3 linked regions of the Drosophila melanogaster genome follow. The protein of the gene in region 1 purifies or fractionates together with the protein of each later gene. This does not show direct contact. Each region holds a gene or a part of one and is shown in the gene's direction. Other genes may lie near its edges.

Region 1 (5,336 bases):
AAGATTTCTCTCGCGGCTGATACCCAGATGGATTCTCGAGTAAAGGCAAGCCAAAGATCATATACCCGACAAATACCATTAAATAACGACATAAAGAACAACAAAAGTAGGTTTAAAGAAGAGTCATAGAGGAAAAACCTCCGCGCCAAAATTCAATTCGCGCCGATATCACGTTATCGAACGCTGCACAGCTGGTCATACTAGCTGACCAAGGCAACTCTGCGATCTCGTCCACCTGGGCACACTAGTTGGCGGTCATCGTGTAGTCATTCAATTTCCGACTTCAAACATCCTTCATCAGCCTGCAAGCGAGTTCCGACAAATTTTCAACCCGGTCATGGTTAATTCACACCACAACTAAACGCCGAGATGCCGAACATATGAGAGGCTCGACTTAAGATGTTCGGCATTCGAATTTCTAACGTCTCCAAATGGGAGACTTTTAAAATCACGATCAGTATATCAGTATTAGCTTGTGAGCTTATTCCACAAATAAAATATTAATTACTAGATCTCATCTAAGCGTAACACGCTGAAATCTCGACAACTCATTGTAAGTGAATATGCCGTAGTGCAGGGCATTAAAAGCTCTACAAAGCCCCCCAGTTACACAACTACGATTATGTTATCTGAACCCGGTCCGAAAGCGACTCTCTGGTAATTCACAGGCACCGGCCGAACTTAATGTTAATCTCAGACTCAGCTTCGATCGCAGTCTCATTCGTTCCGCTCAGCTGTATCGTATCTGATCGATCCGGTCCGGCATGGGAAGTTTTCCAGCTCTACTTGTTGTTGTCGGCTCGCTGGCATTGGGCGCGAATGGTGAGTGTGTACGGAATACGGGATCGTAAACAAGTCTGGCTGTGAACTTAAGTTAACGTGGGACGATCCCCGATCTCCGATATTCCAGCTCAACTCCCGCCCATCAATTGTGTTGCAAAAATTCCGAGTGGCCGTGTCACCGGTCACTGCATTTCGATCCGGGAGTGTGACTACTTCATGAGAATCCTGCTATCCGGCAATCTCAGCCAGAGCGATCGCAACCTGCTCCGTGATAATCAGTGCGGAGTGCGGGGCAACGACGTCCAGGTGGGTGATTCACCACAGTATCTCTCCCTACCCAATTGAACTCGAACTTCCACAACTTGATCCATTAAGCGCTACTAAATAAAACAAGCTCGATTATATTGGGCCTGTTCTGGTTTTCACTTTCACTGCCCAGCTTCATTTTTTTGGAATTTTATAAACGCTTGCGTTCTTATCATTTTCTACAGATAAGAACTTGTAAACGATTTGAATAGGGAAATACACCACATTTTGATAATACGAATGGTTTCAAATGAGATATCATTCTCCTTTTAAATATTTTAATTACTTCCATTGTTAATGTTAAGGAAACTTTTTGTAAAAATAAGTGACCTCAAACTGTATCATAAAAAAAAACTCGTTATTCGAGTACGCTTTTGGGAGTTCCTCGTAAAAGAGATATACTTTATAATATAATGATAAAGCCACTGTTTTTCTAGGTATGCTGTCCTAGTACCGCCGGCTTGGGTGCCCTGACCCACCCACTTTTGCCCTCGGATTGCGGAAAGGTTCGTTGGCAGCGTTCGAATGACACAGATACGCGAATCCGGGAGTTTCCCTGGCTGGCCCTCATTGAGTATACGCGCGGTGAGTTGCCGGTTTTGGTAATATATGTATATGTAGGTCACAGTATTAATCCCCACCTTTTTTACTCCGCAGGCAACCAGGAGAAGATCCATGCGTGTGGCGGTGTGCTTATCAGTGATCGGTATGTGCTAACTGCTGCCCATTGTGTGGCCCAGGCGGCGACTAGCAATCTGCAGATTACTGCTGTCCGGTTGGGTGAATGGGACACTAGCACGAATCCCGACTGTCAGTACCATGAGGATAGTAAAGTGGCGGATTGCGCGCCTCCCTACCAGGACATAGCCATCGAGGAGTTGCTTCCACATCCGCTCTACAATCGCACCGACAGGACGCAGATCAACGACATTGCCCTCGTCCGACTGGCAAGTCCTGCCAAGCTCAACGACTTTGTGCAACCCATTTGCCTGCCCAACAAGCAGCTGCGAGCGGACGAGCTGGAGGACCTGGTCACCGAGGTGGCCGGATGGCAGGCTAGTTCCTCGCAAAGGATGCGAAAAGGTTATGTGACCATTAGTTCGATTGAGGAGTGTCAAAGGAAGTACGCCAGCCAGCAGTTGCGCATCCAAGCCTCGAAGCTCTGTGGCCTGACCAATTCCCAGGAGTGCTACGGCAACGCTGGTGGACCACTGATGCTGTTCAAGAACGATGGCTATCTGCTCGGTGGACTGGTGTCGTTCGGACCCGTTCCCTGCCCCAATCCCGACTGGCCGGATGTCTACACCAGGGTGGCGTCCTACATCGATTGGATTCACGACAGTCTCAAAGCATAGATTGAAGTAAATACTTGGTACAACAAAATGTTCAGTAAAACAAACTAAAATAATAACTAAATCTTTTGATTCAGAAACAATATTTCAATAACTTACCTTGTGGGTAACAAAGTAGAAAGATTGTCTTTAAAATATGGAGATTTTCTTATTTATTTTGAAATTGGCGCCTAATATTATTCAATGTGATAGCAATTGGGGTATTTTTGGTCGCGTTAGGCGGAGAACTTTATGTGGGACTCCGGCGTCAGCACCTGGTTACACTTCAATCGAGTTTTAGTTCGCTTAGTATAAAAATCGCAAACCTACAAATCGGCAACAAATCTCCAGTTATAGCTTAAAGTGTTAATTAAGTGCTTAATAAATTAAGTATTTGTGTTGGCAACATGGCTGAAGCTGTAAAAAATGGTAAAAATCGTCACTCGGGGAGCGCTGAAAAAGGCAAGCGACAAATGGCGACTGTCTTATTGGATTGTTTTTTTCTTTCCTTTGCCCCTGCAGTGGGCAGAGTTGCATTTTCGAGTATTTTGGCGGTTCAAATTTGAATTTGGTCCTCTTGCTCTTTCCAGAAAGTGGCTCCCAACAACGACCTTTGGATAGCGGCGGAGGAGGGGGCGCCAGTGGCGGAGGCGGTGTCGCTGTAGGAGGCGGCTCGGGAATGCCGAAGAGGAAACATCGGCGGGGAAAAAAATCCAAGATGCAGCCCAAGAAGACCAAGAACCATTATCCGCAGTGGAAACTCGATATGTCAACGGGTGCAGGAGCAACGCTGGAGGGGAATCAACGACAGAATAGCAGAACCAAGCTGGTTCGTTCGCGCTCCTTGCTCGTTCCGTACAACACGAACCGCTTCCTAATGGAGGAACACATGTCGGAGCTGCACAAAGATGACTCCGACGACAACTGTTTTGGCTCCCAGACCGAAGATCAGGTGCTCTTCCTTTCCAAGGAGTTCTCCGATGTCTACGAGCGAGCGCGGCTCGAACGTTTGGAGACGATGAGCAAGCAGGAGCTCATCCAGGAGTGCATGCAAATCGAAGATCGATATTCGAAGGCCCAGAACATATCCAAGGAGTTTGGAGCCAAATTACGAGCGCAGGATGATAAGATTCGCCAACTATCACGTGAGAATCAATGTATGCGATGTCTTTAATAATTTGAAAAACCAGGAAAATTTATAACTTGTGCCTTTTATTCCAGTTCTGCGCACCCACCTCTTGCGCACGTGTTCCGCGACAGCTGGACCAGCGGCAGCAGCAGCGGCCGCAGCTTCCCCGCCCTCAGCGGTGGCGCCCACTCCCAGTTCAGCTTGCGAGCTGCAGGCTAGACAACAGCCTCCCCAGCAGCCACAACCCACACCCATGGACTCCACCAGCGAGGACAGCGAAAGCGACAGCAGCAGCACCACGTCGAGCACCACGTCCACCACTTCCTCGACCAGCAGCGATGGTCACGAAATGGGCGTGGCCGGCCTGAACATAGCCAATGGGCATGCCGAGCGGCACGAGAGGAGCCGCACCCGCTCCAGGTCTAGATCACCGATCCACCTGAATGGTCATGCCAACGAGGAGGAGCGTCAGCGCCTGCTAGATGGAAATCAAATGGAGGAGGACGACAACTCCAGCGATGTATCCAGGCCAGCCGATGCAGTTGTCAAATAGAATAAAATAGAAGAGTATGTCACTCCGCCGTGTGTAAATAAAAGACTCAATTGTGGTAGAATGTGGCGATAAATGGACATAATCCTTGTTTAGTTTTTAAGTCATCTGTGGACGCCTAAATTGTGAGGAGTTCCTTTCAATCATCAAATAGCTCATCAAAAAGCATTCATCAGAAAGAATTAGCATTACTTTATTATCTGCAAACGACGCCTCCCAATTGTATTTTTGTTGGTCTGTATGGTGTATAGTTTAGCGGTGTTGCCTCGAAGTGTTGATTTTAATGGAACTTTGTATAATGAAAAATCGATTTGTAGATAAATAAAGAGTTAAAACATGAATTCGAATAACTACCGCTATTCATTTTCTTACGGTGGGATGCGCAGTACATTTAATTTATATAATAAACTGGGTTTTGCGATTGTTAGATATCATATTTGGTCCTAGGGACATTTTTTAAAAACTTCCTTGCTACTTTAGTTTTAACATCAGATAAATAGTTTTGATTTACTAAAAGTCTTGTTTTGAGTCTGTGCTTTGGCTTGAAGTAGTATCCACAGGCTTGCCTGCTATTAACTTAACTAATGAGCTGTACTCCGTGGCGTAGAGCGTCCTGGCAATGCCCGCGTAGCCCACACCCACCAGTCTTTGTTCGGCCAAAGTTGCCTGTGGCTGTATATTGATTCGCTTGGGTCCTCGAACAGGCATCCATCCGCTGACAGGGCACGTATTGGACATCATAACTCCTCGTATGGCAACGTTTAAGCCCATCACAGACAAATTATCATCTCTGTACTCGTTGAGCATGCAATCTGATAGGCCCAAGTCATTTATGGCGGTCACGACATCATCGATTTCCTTAAAATGCGGCAGATAGTTGGCATATACAAAATTCACAAAATTCCTGGGCTCTGTATTAAAGGCTTCGGTTATTTCCTCCGGGCTGTGTAACATAGTTTTGTCCTCATTAACTGATGAGATCCAAGATTTGAATGAGTATTTTTACAGAGAATGTTTCGTGGGACTTACACTTAGGATTTAATACTCTTCCAAGTGCGTGCATCAGAGTAATTGATTCATCTCTACCAATTGACTTTAAAGTACTTTGCATTTTCTTCTTACGACCTTTTGCGGACACACTGACATTTAGCTGTTTGGTCGGCATGCTGGAAACTCCCTTTAAAGAGCTCAAATGTAAATTAATTAACGCATTTCTTATGTCGCCCTGGGCACCGAC
Region 2 (8,291 bases), on another chromosome or scaffold:
TATAGACAGATCCATATAACGTACACAAGTTGTATGTTTGCTTGATAAGATTATACTATAGCGCTAATCATACTTCAAATATAAAGCTTTTGCGCACATGCGTACATACGTATGTTCAAATGAAAAGGATGTACTTTTGATTATATATATGTATTTATTTCAGTATACATTCATATCAATACGAACATATACTGATCATTAAAATAAATATTAACATAAGCTCAGGCATTGACAACGCTGACTGTATATTAATGTGCAATATATTTACATTGCAAGATACTTACATTTCATTATGCCGTATACAGCGTGATGATGATTTCAATTCATAGAACTCCATATTCTCAGTAACATTTGGTAAGAAATCCATATTGTCGTTATCATTCAACAAGTTTATATTTAGATCAAACTCCATATCAAAGCCCAAATCGATTCCAGATTCCGTCATATTTAGGATTAAATTTTTTATACTTAGGAAATTTTATATACCCAACTAACAATATACATAGAACAATTTTTATTTTTTACTAATTATGAAGTTCACATAATTTCGCCTCAGCAGTTAAAGATTCGGAACTACTAATGAATACCTAAAGTTTCATAACACGTATAGAGCTTTTAATAGTGGTGAGAATATGACAGTAAGTGATCGCACATATATCGTGATGTTAAAAGAGCTTAGAGAACTGCCAGTATCTCAATAAAATTTTAAGATATAATTATCTTGTATTTTACTATCAATATAGTAAAAAAAATCATTCAATGTACAACGACAATTTAACTAAATATAACTAAATATATGTAATTTGCATAATTATCATATTATGAAGGAAAGAAATCAAGCTATATATAGCGGCTTCTTAGACAAAAGTGATACAACTAAAGTTTCTTTCTCCTAAAGTTTTTAAGTATTTTTACTCTTCCCCTTATTAGGATTTTCTTTTTCTTATTAGATTAATTTTAAATTTTTAAACTTATCATATTACATTTCACTTTGAAATATATAAAATATATATATTTTTAAATAAGAAAATTAAAATACAAAACAGCTATCAAATCGAAAGTTTTAAACAGAATGAAGTAGTTTGGTATGATTATTTATCCGATGTACTTCAGTTTTTTCCGACTCTACTGAAAAGGGGAAGTGTTAACCGACTCTAACACAAAAGATATTTTCAGCATTGTTTTTTCTACAAAATATTCATAAACGTTATTCATAAAACGTTAAAAATAAATATTTATTGTGCTTTTATTATTGTCAAAACATGAACAATAAAGCATGCAGCTTTATTTTCGTAATTGAATTAAGAAAGTTATCTTTGGCAAGCCGAATCGTAAAGTAACGGTGTAAACAGATTAAAAACAAATTAATAAAAACTAATGAAGTTATTCCGGCATGCTCTGGTAATGGTCATTTTTTGGATTTGGGCAAAATCTTTCGATTTCGTTTTTAGGTGCTCTGGTTTTCGCAACATTTCTGATATCGGGATGCTTCATAAACAGTAAACAGCTGTTTCAGACCATAGAGCGGCCATCTTATTCACAATTTTTTAAATTTTATAAGTATTTTTACCTTCGTACATATGACCTCTTGCCAAATCGAAAATTTTTGTTGCCGACGGCAAAATTTTGTATGGCAAATCTGAGGTGGGGTCAGAAATAATTTTTCTATAAAATATCTATGTCGCAGAATAATCTTGTGGGGTTATGTGGAGTAAACAATGGACCACTAATCTGAGGTGGGGTCAGAAATAATTTTTCTATAAAATATCTATGTCGCAGAATAATCTTGTGGGGTTATGTGGAGTAAACAATGGACCACTAAGATCTAAGATCTGTTATGGCCAAACAAAAGTGCCCGTTTTACAAATCAAAAGATCGAAAATTTTTGTAGCCGAAGGCAACATGTTGTTTGTCAAATCTGAGGTTTAATCAGAAATAAATATTTTATAAGATATCTATGTGGCAGAATGATCTTGTGGGGTGATGTGGAGTAAAGAAGGTACCACTAAGATCTGATTTGATATAAATATAGGCATTTACTTTTCATTTCGGCCAAACAAAAGTGAAAAATTCTTGCGAATTCAAAAACCGGAGCACCAATTTTTCGATTTCACATCGAAATCGTAAGATTCTTACGAATTCGAACACAGGAGCACCAGTTTTTCGATTTTAAATCGAAATCGTAAAATTCTTACGAATTCGAATACCGGAGCTTGCCCGATTATATTTTATTTTATAAATTCAATTTTTCCCGAGCGCTAATATGGCAGAGAATTTCGATCAACTCACATTTGTGTTCCACTTTAAATTTGTCTTCATATCAGAGCACGTGCTTTTGGTTTTCTAAAAACAACTCCTACAAAAACCTTTATATTTAATATACAATGCGGTTAGTCTCTTTGTTTGATCTAAATTGTTTCTCTTGAGTATTGCTTGCTATTATTAAAAGATTTTCAACTCTCTGAAGTCCTTTTAGAAGCATAGAAGTATTTAGAAGATTTAAGAGTTAAAGTATTAAATAGTTTGTGATATCAGAATTACTTTTAAGTGGAAACGGCGTTTCATAAGCCGATATAAAAAACAATAAATACATATCTGAATTTATCGATAAGGTATTTCATATTATAAATTTATGTAAACTACAAATTTGTCTGTTCAAAAGCCTGCGAGTCATTGTAAAATACAATAATCATATCTGCAAAGTAAACTAAATTTATTATGAACGCTGGGTTATTTTAGTTTTCAATAAAATGTAATACCAAAGTTCTGTTTAATGTAAATTGGTAAACAATTTACGTGCAACTCTATACATTGTATTAATCAATTTTGGGCTATATGTGTATATAGATATATAAGTGAATGTATATATTCAATGTTACAGCATGTATTATTAAAAATATTAGTTTTTTAAGTGGCTCATCAGCTCTAAATTTAACTTTGCTTAATTTGTTCAGTAATGTTAAACTATATTTTTGATTTTAGTAATTTTAGCCACCCAAAATATGGAAAAAAAGATCTCATCGTCATCCCAGCCCCGGATTTTAAAAAAGAAGCACTTCAGGGTTAAGCATCAAAAGGTTAAATTATTTAGAGCCAATGAACCAATTTTAAGTGTGTTCATGTGGGGAATAAATCACACTGTATGTAACAAATATTAAACAAGAAAGGCAAGATAAGCTAATTTGAAATATTTCCAGATTAATGAATTAAGTCACGTTAATATACCTGTAATGCTTTTGCCGGACGATTTTCGAGCTTATTCTAAAATTAAGGTGGATAATCATCTATTTAATAAGTAAGAAACCAAAACAAATACATTTTTGATATTCTCAATCGTTGGTATTTTCCTGTTATTATATCCACTACAGAGAAAACATGCCGTCACATTTCAAAGTCAAGGAATATTGCCCCCTTGTGTTTCGAAATTTACGTGAAAGATTTGGCGTTGATGATGTTGATTACCGCGAGTCCTTAACTCGATCCCAACCTATTCAAATTGATTCGTCTGGAAAATCAGGAGCGCAATTTTATCAGAGTTATGATAAGTTTTTTATAATAAAAAGTTTGACATCGGAAGAAATTGAACGAATGCACGCATTTTTAAAGCAATACCATCCGGTGAGTAAAGTATGGTTTAATTGACTAAAATATCCTTATTATAATTTTTAGTACGTTGTGGAGAGACACGGAAAAACGCTGTTACCTCAATACTTGGGAATGTATCGTATCACTGTAGAAAGCGTGCAATATTACTTCGTTGTCATGAGGAATGTTTTCAGCTCCCACTTGACAATACACAAGTATGAAATATGTTGAAAGTTACACCGATTATATGTATAGTATAACCATTATTTATTCGATAGAAAGTTTGATTTAAAAGGTAGCACCGTTGATCGGGAAGCATCAGAAAAGGAACTTGAAAAAAATTTGCCGACTTTCAAGGACAATGATTTTATAAAACAAAAAGTGAAATTAGACATTGGAAAGGAAGCTAAGGACAAACTAATGGACACGCTGAGCAACGATGTGGATGTAAGCAAAAATTTTTATTTTATTCGTATAATAATTGTTTTTATCAAAATTTAAACAAGAAAGAATGCGAGTTTCCCGACTATCAGATATCCGTTACTCAGCTAGTGGAAAGTCAAAGCGAAATTTAATTGGGGAATCAAATGAGAAACAAGGGAGAACGCTATAGTCGGGTTCCCCAACTAGTTGCCCTAATATTAACGGCATTAGATGGGAGGAGAAAAATGTGAATTGACTGGACGAAGAAGTTCGCTAGAAACTGCGACACAACTAATAAAATTAAATAAAATTTGTTATAAATGTGGGCGACAGGTGGCAATAAGTTTTTTGGCATATCAATAGAAATTTACAAGACTAAAAAAAATATGAAAAAATATAAAAACAATATTCAAAAGTTCAAATCTTCATGTCTTCATTTAATAGTTTCTGAGATCAAGGCGGTCATAAGGATTGACGTTCGGATTCAGACATTGATCCTGATCAGGAATATAGCGTCCGAAACGCTTCATATTACCTGTTATATACTTTCCAACAAATATAGTATACCAATTTACCAAAGACAATAGAATAACAAGATGCGTAACGCCATACGATTTTTTTTTGGCGTGGCTTTAGAGGTGGCTCCAGGCTCTCTCGAATTTTTGTTCAAGAGCGAGAGAGCGGAAATCTCTACAGCCAGCAGCTCTTTTCTACGCGTACCAATAGTACCAATATAGTATACCAATTTACCAAAGACTATAGAATAACAAGATGCGTAACGCCATACGATTTTTTTGGCGTGGCTTTAGAGGTGGCTCCAGGCTCTCTCGAATTTTTGTTCAAGAGCGAGAGAGCGGAAATCTCTACAGCCAGCAGCTCTTTTCTACGCGTACAGTGACAGCCGACAACTGTACGTATGCTCATGCATTGTAAATTTGACGAAATAAGCCCTTCATCTTAGAAGTTCTTAGACTTTAAATCTACATTATTTTTGATCAATTGGCACCATGTACAAATTTATTTGTTTTGAATTGCCTTAACGTTGTTTTTATTTAAATATAGCTTAGAAATAATAATAGCCTAATCTTCTATGTACATAATACCAGAAAATAAATTTCAAAAATGACTTTATATTAGAATATTTGTCATTAGAGTATTCAGCTTGCGACGACTAGACTTGTTGAATCGATCTGAAACATCGAAATTTGGGAAGCTGTAAGTGCTATAAGGAGTGCAATTAACATATCGAGGATCATCGTCTTACATATCTTGAATGTTATTAATTCATAGGGACTACAAATTTGTCGCCTTGCACATTTTATATAAATTTCAGGTCTTGAAAATCATACGAATGTGCTGCCATTTTCAAGCATATTGCGTTAAATCTAATTCATAAAAAAAAGTCCTACGAAGTGGTACTTGAAAACCATTTAATCTGAACAAATTTATCTAAAAACCTTTAAATTGTTGTAGTTTAACCTATATAACCAGTAGATATAATTATGTCTTGCATGACTTGATAATTTATTTATTTATAAATATAAATTACCAATACTTTTTGATAGCATATGGTGACATATAATTTATTTTAGCTTTTAACCAAGTTGCACATTATGGATTACTCTTTGTTGGTCGGCGTGCATGACTGTGTTCGTGCAGAGGAGGAAGCTTTGCAGGGAGATAATATACTAACTGTTGGTCGCAGTGAGAACAGCGAAAGCGAGGAATGCGATAGCGGGGAACGGTAAATAAAAATTATTTTATTTAAGCCTTAAATGTACGCAGTTCTTGTTAAAGCTGGACGTATAACACTCCTCCCGATTCTCCAAGAGGTGCACAGTATAAGGAAGTCGTTTATGAAGTTGATATATATGACATTCCAAGTATTGAAGGTAAATGTAGTTTAAAAGTTTTGTACGCAATAGCCCTGATAACTTAACAAAGAGCATTTTTATATTGGTCGTTTTTATATTTTTCAAGTTTTTGAAAATGATGCGTGCGTGCTTATGACGTAAAAAAATTGAAACAAAATTTACGTTAAAGCTCGTTTTTTTAAGATTTTACCCAAAATATTTGGAAAAACAATATATGTTGTTTTTCCATTTTATGCATGATTAAAACACCGGGGAGTACCGATTTCTGAATAGGATACTTAAACTTTCTCTTCTGATTCAGCAGTTAAGATCGTAGCTTCAATCAGACTTGGGAATCACTCTTTTAGTGGCAATCATCATAAAATTTCAGTTGCTTCAATCGTCAACTATCGTGACCATTTCGCTTCATTTGATGTGTTTCGTGCATTGCGCTTATACAAGGGGTACAATATAGTTAAGCAAAAATGTGTGATAACCTTACACCAATTTACATTACATTCAATTTATTTAAATAATTTATTAAAGAATAAATATTATTCTTTAATATATTTAATAATAAATATTATTAAGAATAAATTTATAAAGAATAAATAAATACTTTGTTCTTTGACATACAATGCAGGTAAAAACTATTTTAATAGAACCCCATTAATAAATTTAAATTTCAGTTGTTAACTAATGAGATTTCTATTACTGGTTTCTTAGTGCACATTTTAATTTTTTGGTCCAATCACTTCTACCGTTTTGCCACTAATACTACCGGTATTAAAATTAGAGAATTAATGTATATTTTGAACTGTATTGCAGAAAAACGCGAAATTTACTTTATTGCAATTATTGACGTTCTTACACAATATGGAGTAAAAAAACAGGTATTTCATTTAATACTTAAAAGAAAGGTTGTAATTTTAACAGCATATTTTAGGCAGCTAAAGCAGCCAAAACTGTTAAATATGGCAGTAATGTTGACGGTATATCAACCTGTGACCCTGAACAATATGCCAAACGATTCTTGGACTTTATGGATAAAGCTATAGAATAAAGTATTATACTCATTATGTATTTGCCACATTCAAAATGTCAAAAATGTATTTATCTAAGACATAAAATATAAGATATTATTTTGAAGCTTCCAGATGATCATCTTTTGGACGAATGCAAATATATTGCCTTAAATATCCATTTAGAAATAATTCGGATTTAGTGACCATCACGATGTTACTAGAAAAAATTGGTGAGTCGGGTAAGGATATTTATTCTACTGCACTTACAACAAAACGTTTTATTTGAGTTTTTGATGGGTTCTCCATAGCAGTTTCCGATTTTTTCATATTTTCAAAGCGTTCCCGTATTCTGAAATTAAAGGACCATTACCTTGCAAATTAGTCAAGATACATAAGTAAGTTTGATCTTACGCTTTGGCACTTTCAATAGATTCGTTTGAAATAAGCTGTGAATATACATCAATGCGACCTTCCTTTATTTCTTGTTCTATTTCGTTATTTTGCCATTTTTCAAATTTCGCTCTCAATTGCTTAGCTCGTGCAACACTTTGCGCCTAAAAAAACGAGAAGTGTATTTAATGTACTTTGTAATTACTTCTGGTAACTTAAAGCTATAAAACATTAAAGACTCTTTAGTTGTTATTGGGAGTACAGGACTTATTACACTGGCCAACTTTTTCTTGAAAAGGTAGTACCAAGATCACCGAATTAAACTTATTATGTAATAGATTTAGCGAGGAGCAGGTTCGTAGCATTCTCTTTGTCGAGGACTTCTCCTACAGCAATTACATGTAATTACAAAATTTCATCGAATCTAATTTTAAAGAACTTTGACCACAGGCAGGCTTACAATAAAAAATGTTTGGCCGTTATAGTGGGCGTACGTGGACGTTTTTGCCATATTGATATATATGTGAGATACACAATCAAAAAAAATGTATAAATGTTCGTTACTCATAGATAAAAATAATAAAAAAAAAAAACACCGAAAAAAACTGGAAATACATATAATAAACTAAAATTTACAAAAGTGTGGGTGTGGGACCGGTTTGTGGGCATGGCCAAATTAGGGCAACATGGGTCAACAAACTTGCGCTACGTCTATGTCTTTAGAATCTATTGATCCTGATCAATAATATATGTACGTTATAAGGTTGCAAACGTTTCCTTCTACCTGTTACATACTTTGAAACAAAACTAGAATACCCTTTTACTTTATGTGTAACGGGTATAGCAAGAGTTAGCATTCACTCTTTAAAAAAGATTTAAAAAAATTTTAAAATGGAAAGGTGTGGGCGTGAAAGTTTTGGGCGGGGCAAAAAGTATTTTGGTAAATTTATAGAAATTTACAAGAGCAATAAAAAATTAAAAAAGATCAAAACTTTTTGCTAAATTGTGGCCGTGG
Region 3 (9,251 bases), on another chromosome or scaffold:
AATATATCATTTTGTTTATGATGATTGGTGATTGATGATGCAAATAAACAAAGTGAGTCTTGAGTTCAACTCTGTTCATTGTAAACAATTTTTTATGATTATTTTTTATTTTTTAAATAAAATTATTATTTCAATTTGTGCATGCGTTTTATTTACACATTCGCAAACCAAACACACCAAAAAAAAAACAAACCAATATAAAAACCGAATGAAATATAGAACGTAAGCAAAGATATGATACAAATATATGGAACCCGCTACAAATTTGGAATCTAGATATACCTCCCATGAAAAGTACATAATGTTGCATAAGTTACAATATATTCAAAGTCTATATAGGATAGTCGAGATTCGGATTGACGATATTTGAAGTCGAGATCACATATTTTAGATAAAGTCCAGTCGGTGTATTTTGTAGTTCTAAGACACCATTTCACGAGGTCTCAGTTTATGAGGTTTCCCCCAGATCATGGATTTATATGTATGTCTATTTATTGGCGTAGATCACCGCATCTACCATTATTACCTAGCGTAAATCAGTTATTAGTTGTTAGGGAATGAATATTTAAATGTTATAAGACCTTAGATATAAGCACACCCACAACAAGAGCAGCATCGAACCAGATATGCAAAAATCACGAGTCGAGTACAACGAAATCGGTAAACAAGAATCTGAGCCACAACCCGGATAATGCAGCTTTAAATCGAGATAGTACATTTAAATTTCAATCTCCTATTTCCCAGAGAGCTCTCCTTTCACTTCGATAGCCTAAATCAGTTGGAGACTCCAACCCGAAAGCATTTATACATGCTAAGCACGATAATTGTACATATACAACTTCTGGACCTCATGACTCCACTCGATTATAAACGTATTTTATATGTATACACCAATTATTTGTTAGATTGGATAACCCCGAATGGCTGGATAAGACCAACTAAATTATATGCAATAGAATATCGATGCCGTTGGGCAAGATTTCTATGCTAGGCTAAGGCTAAGACAAGATATCTTTCTATTGGTAACTCAAAAACGAAACGAACTATATAGCTTTTAAATGGAAACGTGCGATTATTCAAAGGTATTCTATGCCGCCTGAGAATAGTAGAGATATGGATTGGCCTAGATTTAGACGAATATGTTGAATGCATTAACATTAGATACGATTAGTTTTTGACTTACTAACCTAAGTTAAGTTTTTAGACTGTTTATTTCACTTTTTGTTCAATCTTTGTACATTTGACAGACACATTTTAAAAATGTCTGCGATGAGAAATCAGCTAAAGCCAGCCACAATATATATAATATATATATATATACTTTAATGCTTATGTAGTAAGGAAACGAACGTTGGATCGAAGTCATGGTATGTAGGTGAATTTTATGGTTAGAGGCAAGCGCAAGCGAACGGATTAGATTAATTTTTATAAGAATGCATTAAGAAAAACGAAGCAAGTAACAGTCACAAGCTAGCATAATTATTTACTGTTATGACGACATAAGAGTTTTAAGGTTTTTAGCTAAATTTTGTATATTTTAATCTACAAACTATAAATATATATTATCTGTTTTATAAATAACAATAAAAAATTCATATGTGTTTTTATGACAGATTTCAAATGGGTAGAGCATCGCTCTCAAAATGTATAGCCATTTTGAGCTGTACAGGAATTCGGAATGTCTTTTTTACTACTAGTATTATTTCTTATGATTCGGTCGGTTATGGCTTATACGCATAGACCAATAACTCTACATATCCCCACCCACAGAAAGAAGTCACAAAATCTGGGAGGCCAATTACAGGTCCAAAACGTTAGATTAGTCGGTCACCATTAAATCGATTGTGGCACGAGCTGTGTGACATATTGCGTCCTCTTTTTGGAACCACAGGTCCTGGACATCATGGTTGTTCGATTCAGGAATGAAAATGTTGGTAACAATAGCCCTATACCGATCGTCATTTACTGTAACGTACTGGCCATCGTCGGCTTTGAAGAAGTACGGACCAATGATTCCACCAGCCCATAAAGTTTTTCTGGATGTAACGGTGTTTGAGGATTGGCTTCAACCGAAGTGCTGGTTGTCCGACTAGGTATATAAACATATACATAACAACATTTGGATATTTTGATAAAAAAAAGTCATGCGATTAAATGAAGGTGCTCAAAGTACATATATAATATGTCCATATACATATAATAAGATATATTTAAGATGGGACTGTTCAAACATATTAAGTACAAATTCGATTCCCCCGGAATATACGTTATTTTTTAATTGAATAAGAAGGGAAAAAATGTTGACATTGTGATATTTCTACATGTGTTAGCGAAATGTAAAGTTTAAGGTAAGTTACTTAAAAATGTATTTACATTTATTTGAATATCTACCTTACGATTATTAATCGATAACATAAACAGTAGAATCAATGTTGCCATATTTTAAAAATAATATCGATAATGCGAAATAAACATCGGTTTGGAAAGCCTTATCGATCTGGCAGCCCTGCCGACGGCCATACTTGAAAATACATTTTTTTCTGCAAAGTTTGTCATTGTCACTGTGTGAATGGAATCTGTGATGTGTTGTGGAATTAAAAACGTCGAGTAAACGACCCGTAATGGTTAAAGTGCCCGGCGAAAGCAGTGCGAATAACTATGAATTGATACGAAAGTTGCATAACACGTCGCCTGGTGTCGCGGTTAGTGTGTTTTTCGTCTCGTTTCGTTTCCGCCGCAGTCGCAGTTTCCAGAAAACCTCACCACACCATACCATCTCCACCACGCACACACACACACAAACAAACACGCAGAGACGCGGCGGCGGAAAAAGTGTGCGGACCGCGGATTTAACCCCTCGTTCCAAACCCAAATTGGAGTCTCCCAAAAACAGCGAAATATCGAGTGTGGCTTAGCCGATGTGCCGTGCGATCCCCACTGCCCCTTCCGTACCGCTGCCACCCCCGCCACAGCAGCAACGCACACGGATACGGACACAGACACCAATACCAGCGCACTCAAGCACGGCCGACAAAGAAAGAGCGCTCTCCCTTCCTCTTCGTACAGTTAGTTCCTACAGCTGAATCAGCCAAAAGGGAATTACTAGGTCCATTCCGAGGCGCAGTTTGCATGTGAAACGGAGGTCCCCGCATAACCACGCGGAACCCGAAATCCCAGATCCCCATCTCCGCTGCACGGATAAAGGAAACATACAACCATGAGTCTCCTAGCCACGCCAATGCCCCAGGCGGCCACCGCCTCATCTTCTTCATCCGCCTCCGCGGCCGCCTCGGCCAGCGGGATTCCAATCACCGCCAACAACAACCTGCCTTTCGAGAAGGACAAGATCTGGTACTTCAGCAACGATCAGCTGGCCAATTCGCCAAGCAGAAGATGCGGCATCAAGGGCGACGATGAGCTGCAGTACCGCCAGATGACCGCCTATCTGATACAGGAAATGGGTCAGCGTCTGCAGGTGTCCCAACTGTGCATCAACACGGCCATTGTGTACATGCATCGGTTCTACGCCTTTCACTCCTTCACCCACTTTCATCGCAACTCCATGGCGTCGGCGAGCCTCTTCTTGGCCGCCAAGGTAGAAGAGCAACCGCGGAAGCTGGAGCATGTTATTCGGGCCGCCAACAAGTGCCTGCCGCCGACCACCGAGCAGAATTACGCCGAACTCGCCCAGGAGCTTGTGTTCAACGAGAACGTGCTCCTGCAGACGCTGGGCTTCGATGTGGCCATCGATCATCCGCACACGCATGTGGTGCGCACCTGCCAGCTGGTCAAAGGTATGCACCCACCATCCGACCCAAGCCATGTCCCCTTCACATGTCAGATGGTACTGATTACTGTGGTATATTTTAGCATGCAAGGATCTGGCGCAGACATCGTACTTCTTGGCCTCGAACAGGTATGGCTAGCAATGCGCTACTCTATGGTGTAATCCCTCCTAGAGATCGCCCCCAACGCAAATACGGCTGTGGTATAAGCAATGTGTGTGTGTGTGCGGGTGTGGTGTTGGCCCAATCCTCCCCAGAAAGTGGTCAGGCTGTAGAGAGTTCGATCCCTGACTTTTTGTGGCTAAAATCTTTGGGCAGTTCTTTTACCTGCTTAATTCCTCGCTTATAGCTAACAAACCCAGGTATGTGAGTCGAAACAAAAAAAAAAAGTGACGACCCCAAGTCACAAATCGAACAAGAACACGCGGTCCCTAATCGCAGCAGGACGTCTGTACAAATATCGCATCTTAGCAAAAAGGCAGTATTTTCCGTGTCCCTCGCGGTAATTATCCTCAGTTGCCTGCAATAACATTGTAATTTGTGTCGGAAAATCCGCCAAATGTCAAGAATAAGACTAATTCCTAGAAAGAGTCGTTAATTCCTAGAAAAAGATATTTGAAGAATTGTAATGATAACCATTGTAATCCTTTGGCATACTAAAACATCTGGAAAAAAGATAAATTCAGTTTGGCATACCTGCCTACCTAAAACATAGTCAAAATTCTGATTACATGAGGAGAGCTCATTGGGAAAATTTGCGCATTTCGAAATATCGGCAAACGTTTTAGAATAATTCTTTTAAGTTTAAGATCCCCAAGAAATAAAAGAGACTCGCTAAGAACATGCTAAGAACTAAAGACGTAATCTGTATTATAAGTGATGAAATCCCCCTGCACACACTCACCGAACTACATTTATATGTGATATTCTTGCAAAAGATTTCCCACTAAATTGACTTAACCATCCTGGCACAGCCTGCATCTGACCTCGATGTGCCTCCAATATCGCCCCACGGTCGTAGCCTGTTTCTGCATTTACCTAGCCTGCAAGTGGTCCCGATGGGAGATCCCCCAGTCGACCGAGGGCAAACACTGGTTCTACTATGTGGACAAGACGGTCTCGCTGGATTTGCTAAAGCAGCTGACAGATGAGTTCATCGCTATCTATGAGAAGAGCCCGGCCCGTCTGAAGTCTAAGCTTAACTCGATCAAGGCGATCGCCCAGGGAGCCAGCAATCGGACAGCTAACAGCAAGGACAAACCAAAGGAGGACTGGAAGATCACCGAGATGATGAAGGGCTACCACTCAAACATCACGACACCACCAGAGCTGTTAAACGGCAACGACAGCCGGGATCGGGACCGAGATCGTGAACGGGAGAGAGAGCGGGAACGGGATCCGTCGTCACTACTGCCGCCACCGGCTATGGTGCCGCAGCAAAGACGACAGGATGGTGGCCATCAGCGCTCGTCCTCAGTGAGCGGAGTGCCAGGCAGCAGCTCTTCGTCGTCTTCCTCCAGTCACAAGATGCCAAATTACCCTGGTGGCATGCCGCCCGACGCTCATACGGGTAAGTATTTCAACAACTGCAAAAAGAATCACATTTTTAACATCTTCGTATTGAAGATCACAAGTCAAAGCAGCCGGGCTATAACAATCGAATGCCCTCAAGTCACCAGCGTAGTAGTAGCAGTGGACTCGGTTCCTCGGGAAGTGGCAGCCAGCGCAGCAGCTCATCCTCGTCGTCTTCAAGCCAGCAGCCTGGCCGACCGTCTATGCCCGTGGACTATCACAAATCCTCTCGCGGCATGCCGCCGGTAGGCGTGGGCATGCCACCTCACGGCAGCCACAAGATGACTTCGGGCTCCAAGCCCCAGCAGCCGCAGCAGCAGCCGGTCCCACATCCATCCGCCTCTAATTCCTCTGCATCGGGCATGTCCTCCAAGGATAAATCCCAGAGCAACAAAATGTATCCGAACGCACCGCCGCCATACAGTAATAGTGCCCCTCAAAACCCGCTGATGTCGCGTGGTGGATATCCAGGCGCTAGCAATGGATCCCAGCCCCCGCCTCCCGCCGGATACGGCGGCCATCGCAGCAAATCCGGCTCCACCGTCCATGGCATGCCGCCTTTCGAGCAGCAATTGCCCTATTCCCAGAGCCAGAGCTACGGCCACATGCAGCAGCAGCCAGTGCCTCAGTCTCAGCAGCAACAGATGCCTCCGGAGGCATCCCAGCACTCGTTGCAGTCCAAGAACTCGCTCTTCAGTCCAGAGTGGCCAGACATTAAAAAGGAGCCCATGTCGCAGTCGCAACCACAGCCTTTTAACGGTTTGCTACCCCCTCCTGCGCCTCCCGGCCACGATTACAAGCTAAATAGCCATCCGCGCGACAAAGAAAGTCCCAAGAAAGAGCGACTAACGCCAACCAAAAAGGATAAGCACCGTCCTGTCATGCCCCCAGTGGGCAGTGGGAACAGTTCCTCCGGCTCGGGATCATCAAAGCCGATGCTACCGCCTCACAAGAAGCAGATACCCCATGGCGGGGACCTGTTGACCAATCCTGGAGAGAGTGGAAGCCTAAAACGGCCCAACGAGATCTCGGGAAGTCAGTATGGACTAAATAAGCTGGATGAAATAGATAACAGTAATATGCCTCGAGAAAAGCTTCGCAAGCTGGACACTACAACTGGACTACCAACTTATCCGAATTATGAGGAGAAACACACGCCTCTGAATATGTCCAACGGAATCGAGACAACGCCGGATCTGGTGCGCAGTTTGCTAAAGGAGAGTCTGTGTCCATCGAACGCTTCGCTCCTGAAACCGGATGCCTTGACTATGCCTGGCCTGAAACCACCGGCCGAACTGCTTGAGCCCATGCCCGCACCAGCGACAATCAAGAAAGAACAGGGAATAACTCCGATGACCAGTTTGGCTAGTGGGCCCGCACCCATGGATTTGGAAGTACCCACTAAACAGGCCGGAGAGATTAAGGAGGAAAGCAGCAGCAAGTCCGAAAAGAAAAAGAAGAAGGATAAACACAAACACAAGGAGAAGGACAAGTCCAAGGACAAGACGGAAAAGGAGGAGCGTAAGAAGCACAAGAAGGACAAGCAGAAGGATCGTAGCGGCAGCGGTGGCAGCAAGGACAGTTCTCTTCCCAATGAGCCTCTGAAGATGGTTATCAAGAATCCCAACGGCAGCCTGCAGGCCGGTGCGTCAGCTCCCATTAAACTTAAGATCAGCAAAAATAAGGTTGAACCCAATAACTACTCTGCAGCGGCGGGTCTGCCTGGCGCAATCGGATATGGCTTGCCTCCAACTACGGCTACCACCACATCCGCTTCGATCGGAGCAGCTGCTCCTGTTCTGCCTCCTTATGGTGCCGGCGGTGGTGGCTACAGCTCATCGGGCGGCAGCAGTTCCGGTGGCAGCAGCAAGAAAAAGCACAGCGATCGTGACCGCGACAAGGAGAGCAAAAAGAATAAGAGCCAAGACTACGCGAAGTACAATGGCGCTGGTGGCGGCATCTTTAATCCCCTTGGCGGTGCTGGCGCCGCACCCAATATGTCTGGAGGAATGGGCGCCCCCATGTCTACTGCTGTACCACCATCCATGCTGTTGGCGCCCACCGGTGCAGTACCACCCTCTGCCGCTGGGCTGGCACCGCCTCCCATGCCCGTCTACAACAAGAAGTAGTGGTAGCGGTCAGAGGGTTATTCTTAAGTCGTACGTTTTGATATATGTATAGAACCTCAGTAAGTCCGATTGTAGTATAGTTGTTAGGATTGTTAGTGAGATGCATTATTGATTTTAGTTAAGCACATAGATAAAACTCCAAATTGGAAGTGAAACCGGATGCGCAGATCGAAGAAGAGTGGAAGTAGATGTCGCGATGGGGCTGGACGTAAAAGCAGTACTCAAATCGCGAAAACTTTTGTACAGCATTAATTAATTTATAACTATAATAAATAGCATACATATAAGCCCACATACATAAAAATACGGAATAGTTTTAAGCGAATTGTTGGCAAACGGAATCAGAGACCCAAGCAGAAAATTCACAGAGAGCAGCAATGGCCGTCTAGCGTTTAAGTTAGCAAATCAAATACCCGTTTCACACACTCTAACCTGTATATAGCCACTCTCACAAACACACAATCAAGAGATATATAGTACAGACTTCCGCTTAGCAAATATACTAAATACGGCCCCAACTAAATGCAAGCCAGAGAGATAGAAAGAGTAAGAACTTCAAAATAATCCCCACAGAGGAGCATATAGTTGTGGCAGAGGATAGGAGAGTAAATGGAAAGCCAGCGCTTTGATTCAAAATTGAAGACGCCAAACCACATAATGAATTATTTAATTAATACATAGTTGCTAATCCGAAAATGAATGAAGATGTTTATTTTTAGTTAGCAAAGTTTTCCCTTCCTTTCTGAACGATTGCCCGATTACTAACCGTGTTTCAATATAGTTTTCGACACCTAGCAATATATACAGTAGTGTATTTACACTTTTCAATGAAGATAAGTAAAAAGATCGGATTGTTTCAGCGGATGATATTATGTTTCAAGATCGCCTGGAACGTTGACGTAGCTTTCATTTGTTTTAATTTATTTTTTAAATAGCATTACAAAACAAATTACCACAACAAAAAAAAAACCAAAACAAAAACAAATAATAAAGTCCCAAAACAAAAACGGAATATGCAAACAAAAAAGAAACCCAAAACTAAATTTTGGATAAAACAAAAGTTGTTGTGCAAGAAAACAAAAAGTTTTAAAATTATGTAAATGCAAGCGAAAACGTTGCAAGCAAACTAAGCTAAACGAACGAAAAACTAACAGAAGGCTAAACGAGGAGAAACAAAAGTTAGGCATATAGAAATCTAGGCATGATCTATATATTCGAGGCGAAAATGAGAATGAAATGAAATTTTATGTAATTTTCGACTAAGGCAAAGGTTAAGCGAACGTTGCGCGTTTTTCAAAACTATTCGTACTCGTATATTCGTATTCGATTTCTCTACTACTGCATTAAGCTGCAAGCATATATAGCTCTAAACACACCACACATCCATTCACACACCATCCATCCCATGCAGTCGAGAAACGTATTCTTTAAGTTGGGAACCCGAGAAACCCGTTTTTATAATCGATCGAAAGAATGCGCAATTTGCGTCTAAGATTTGGATTTCCCTTTATATACTTATTCTTGGCCCCTTTTACCACACTCCCCGCCCACGCCCATCCCCACCCCTCGCCCCTCCTAACTTAAGTTTTTGTACATACTTGGAAAGCAAATGGAAAACCCGCCGCTCGGGTGGCGGGCAAGTGTCGGGTTTCATTGGGATTGTTTGGTTGTGCGTTCGAATATGAATTCACTCGTCACTTGCACGCCCCCACGAGGGCACAAATAAAAATCTTCAAAACCCCGCAAAATTCTAAACAAAAAACTA

The links.
Region 2: the proteins of Hexim (region 1) and PIP4K purify together in Drosophila melanogaster (affinity purification with mass spectrometry, with the first as the bait; one large-scale study listed by BioGRID). This does not show direct contact.
Region 3: the proteins of Hexim (region 1) and CycT purify together in Drosophila melanogaster (affinity purification with western blotting, with the first as the bait; one study listed by BioGRID). This does not show direct contact.

Annotation. Positions count from the first base shown.
Region 1 is NT_033777.3:14,656,734-14,662,069, forward strand, and holds Hexim (hexamethylene bisacetamide inducible), read left to right. Parts: upstream 1-2,704; 5' UTR 2,705-2,827; coding exon 2,828-2,882; intron 2,883-3,010; coding exon 3,011-3,577; intron 3,578-3,641; coding exon 3,642-4,102; 3' UTR 4,103-4,444; downstream 4,445-5,336. Other genes in the region: CG3505 (uncharacterized protein), read left to right, coding at 765-822, 911-1,089, 1,527-1,674, 1,747-2,444; Rad17, read right to left, coding at 4,610-5,070, 5,129-5,336.
Region 2 is NC_004353.4:1,191,169-1,199,459, reverse strand, and holds PIP4K (phosphatidylinositol 5-phosphate 4-kinase), read left to right. Parts: upstream 1-2,611; 5' UTR 2,612-2,752; intron 2,753-2,982; 5' UTR 2,983-3,002; coding exon 3,003-3,140; intron 3,141-3,197; coding exon 3,198-3,295; intron 3,296-3,368; coding exon 3,369-3,618; intron 3,619-3,669; coding exon 3,670-3,800; intron 3,801-3,863; coding exon 3,864-4,032; intron 4,033-5,600; coding exon 5,601-5,752; intron 5,753-5,805; coding exon 5,806-5,900; intron 5,901-6,474; exon of another isoform or gene 6,475-6,689; coding exon 6,690-6,754; exon of another isoform or gene 6,755-6,807; coding exon 6,808-6,924; 3' UTR 6,925-7,041; downstream 7,042-8,291. Other genes in the region: CG33521 (uncharacterized protein), read right to left, coding at 7,101-7,103, 7,154-7,235, 7,298-7,440.
Region 3 is NT_037436.4:17,551,039-17,560,289, reverse strand, and holds the start of CycT (cyclin T), read left to right. Parts: upstream 1-2,501; 5' UTR 2,502-3,217; coding exon 3,218-3,794; intron 3,795-3,870; coding exon 3,871-3,916; exon of another isoform or gene 3,917-4,147; intron 4,148-4,458; exon of another isoform or gene 4,459-4,759; coding exon 4,760-5,355; intron 5,356-5,411; coding exon 5,412-7,486; 3' UTR 7,487-9,251. UniProt on the Drosophila melanogaster protein: Regulatory subunit of the cyclin-dependent kinase pair (CDK9/cyclin T) complex, also called positive transcription elongation factor B (P-TEFb), which is proposed to facilitate the transition from abortive to production elongation by phosphorylating the CTD (carboxy-terminal domain) of the large subunit of RNA polymerase II (RNAP II).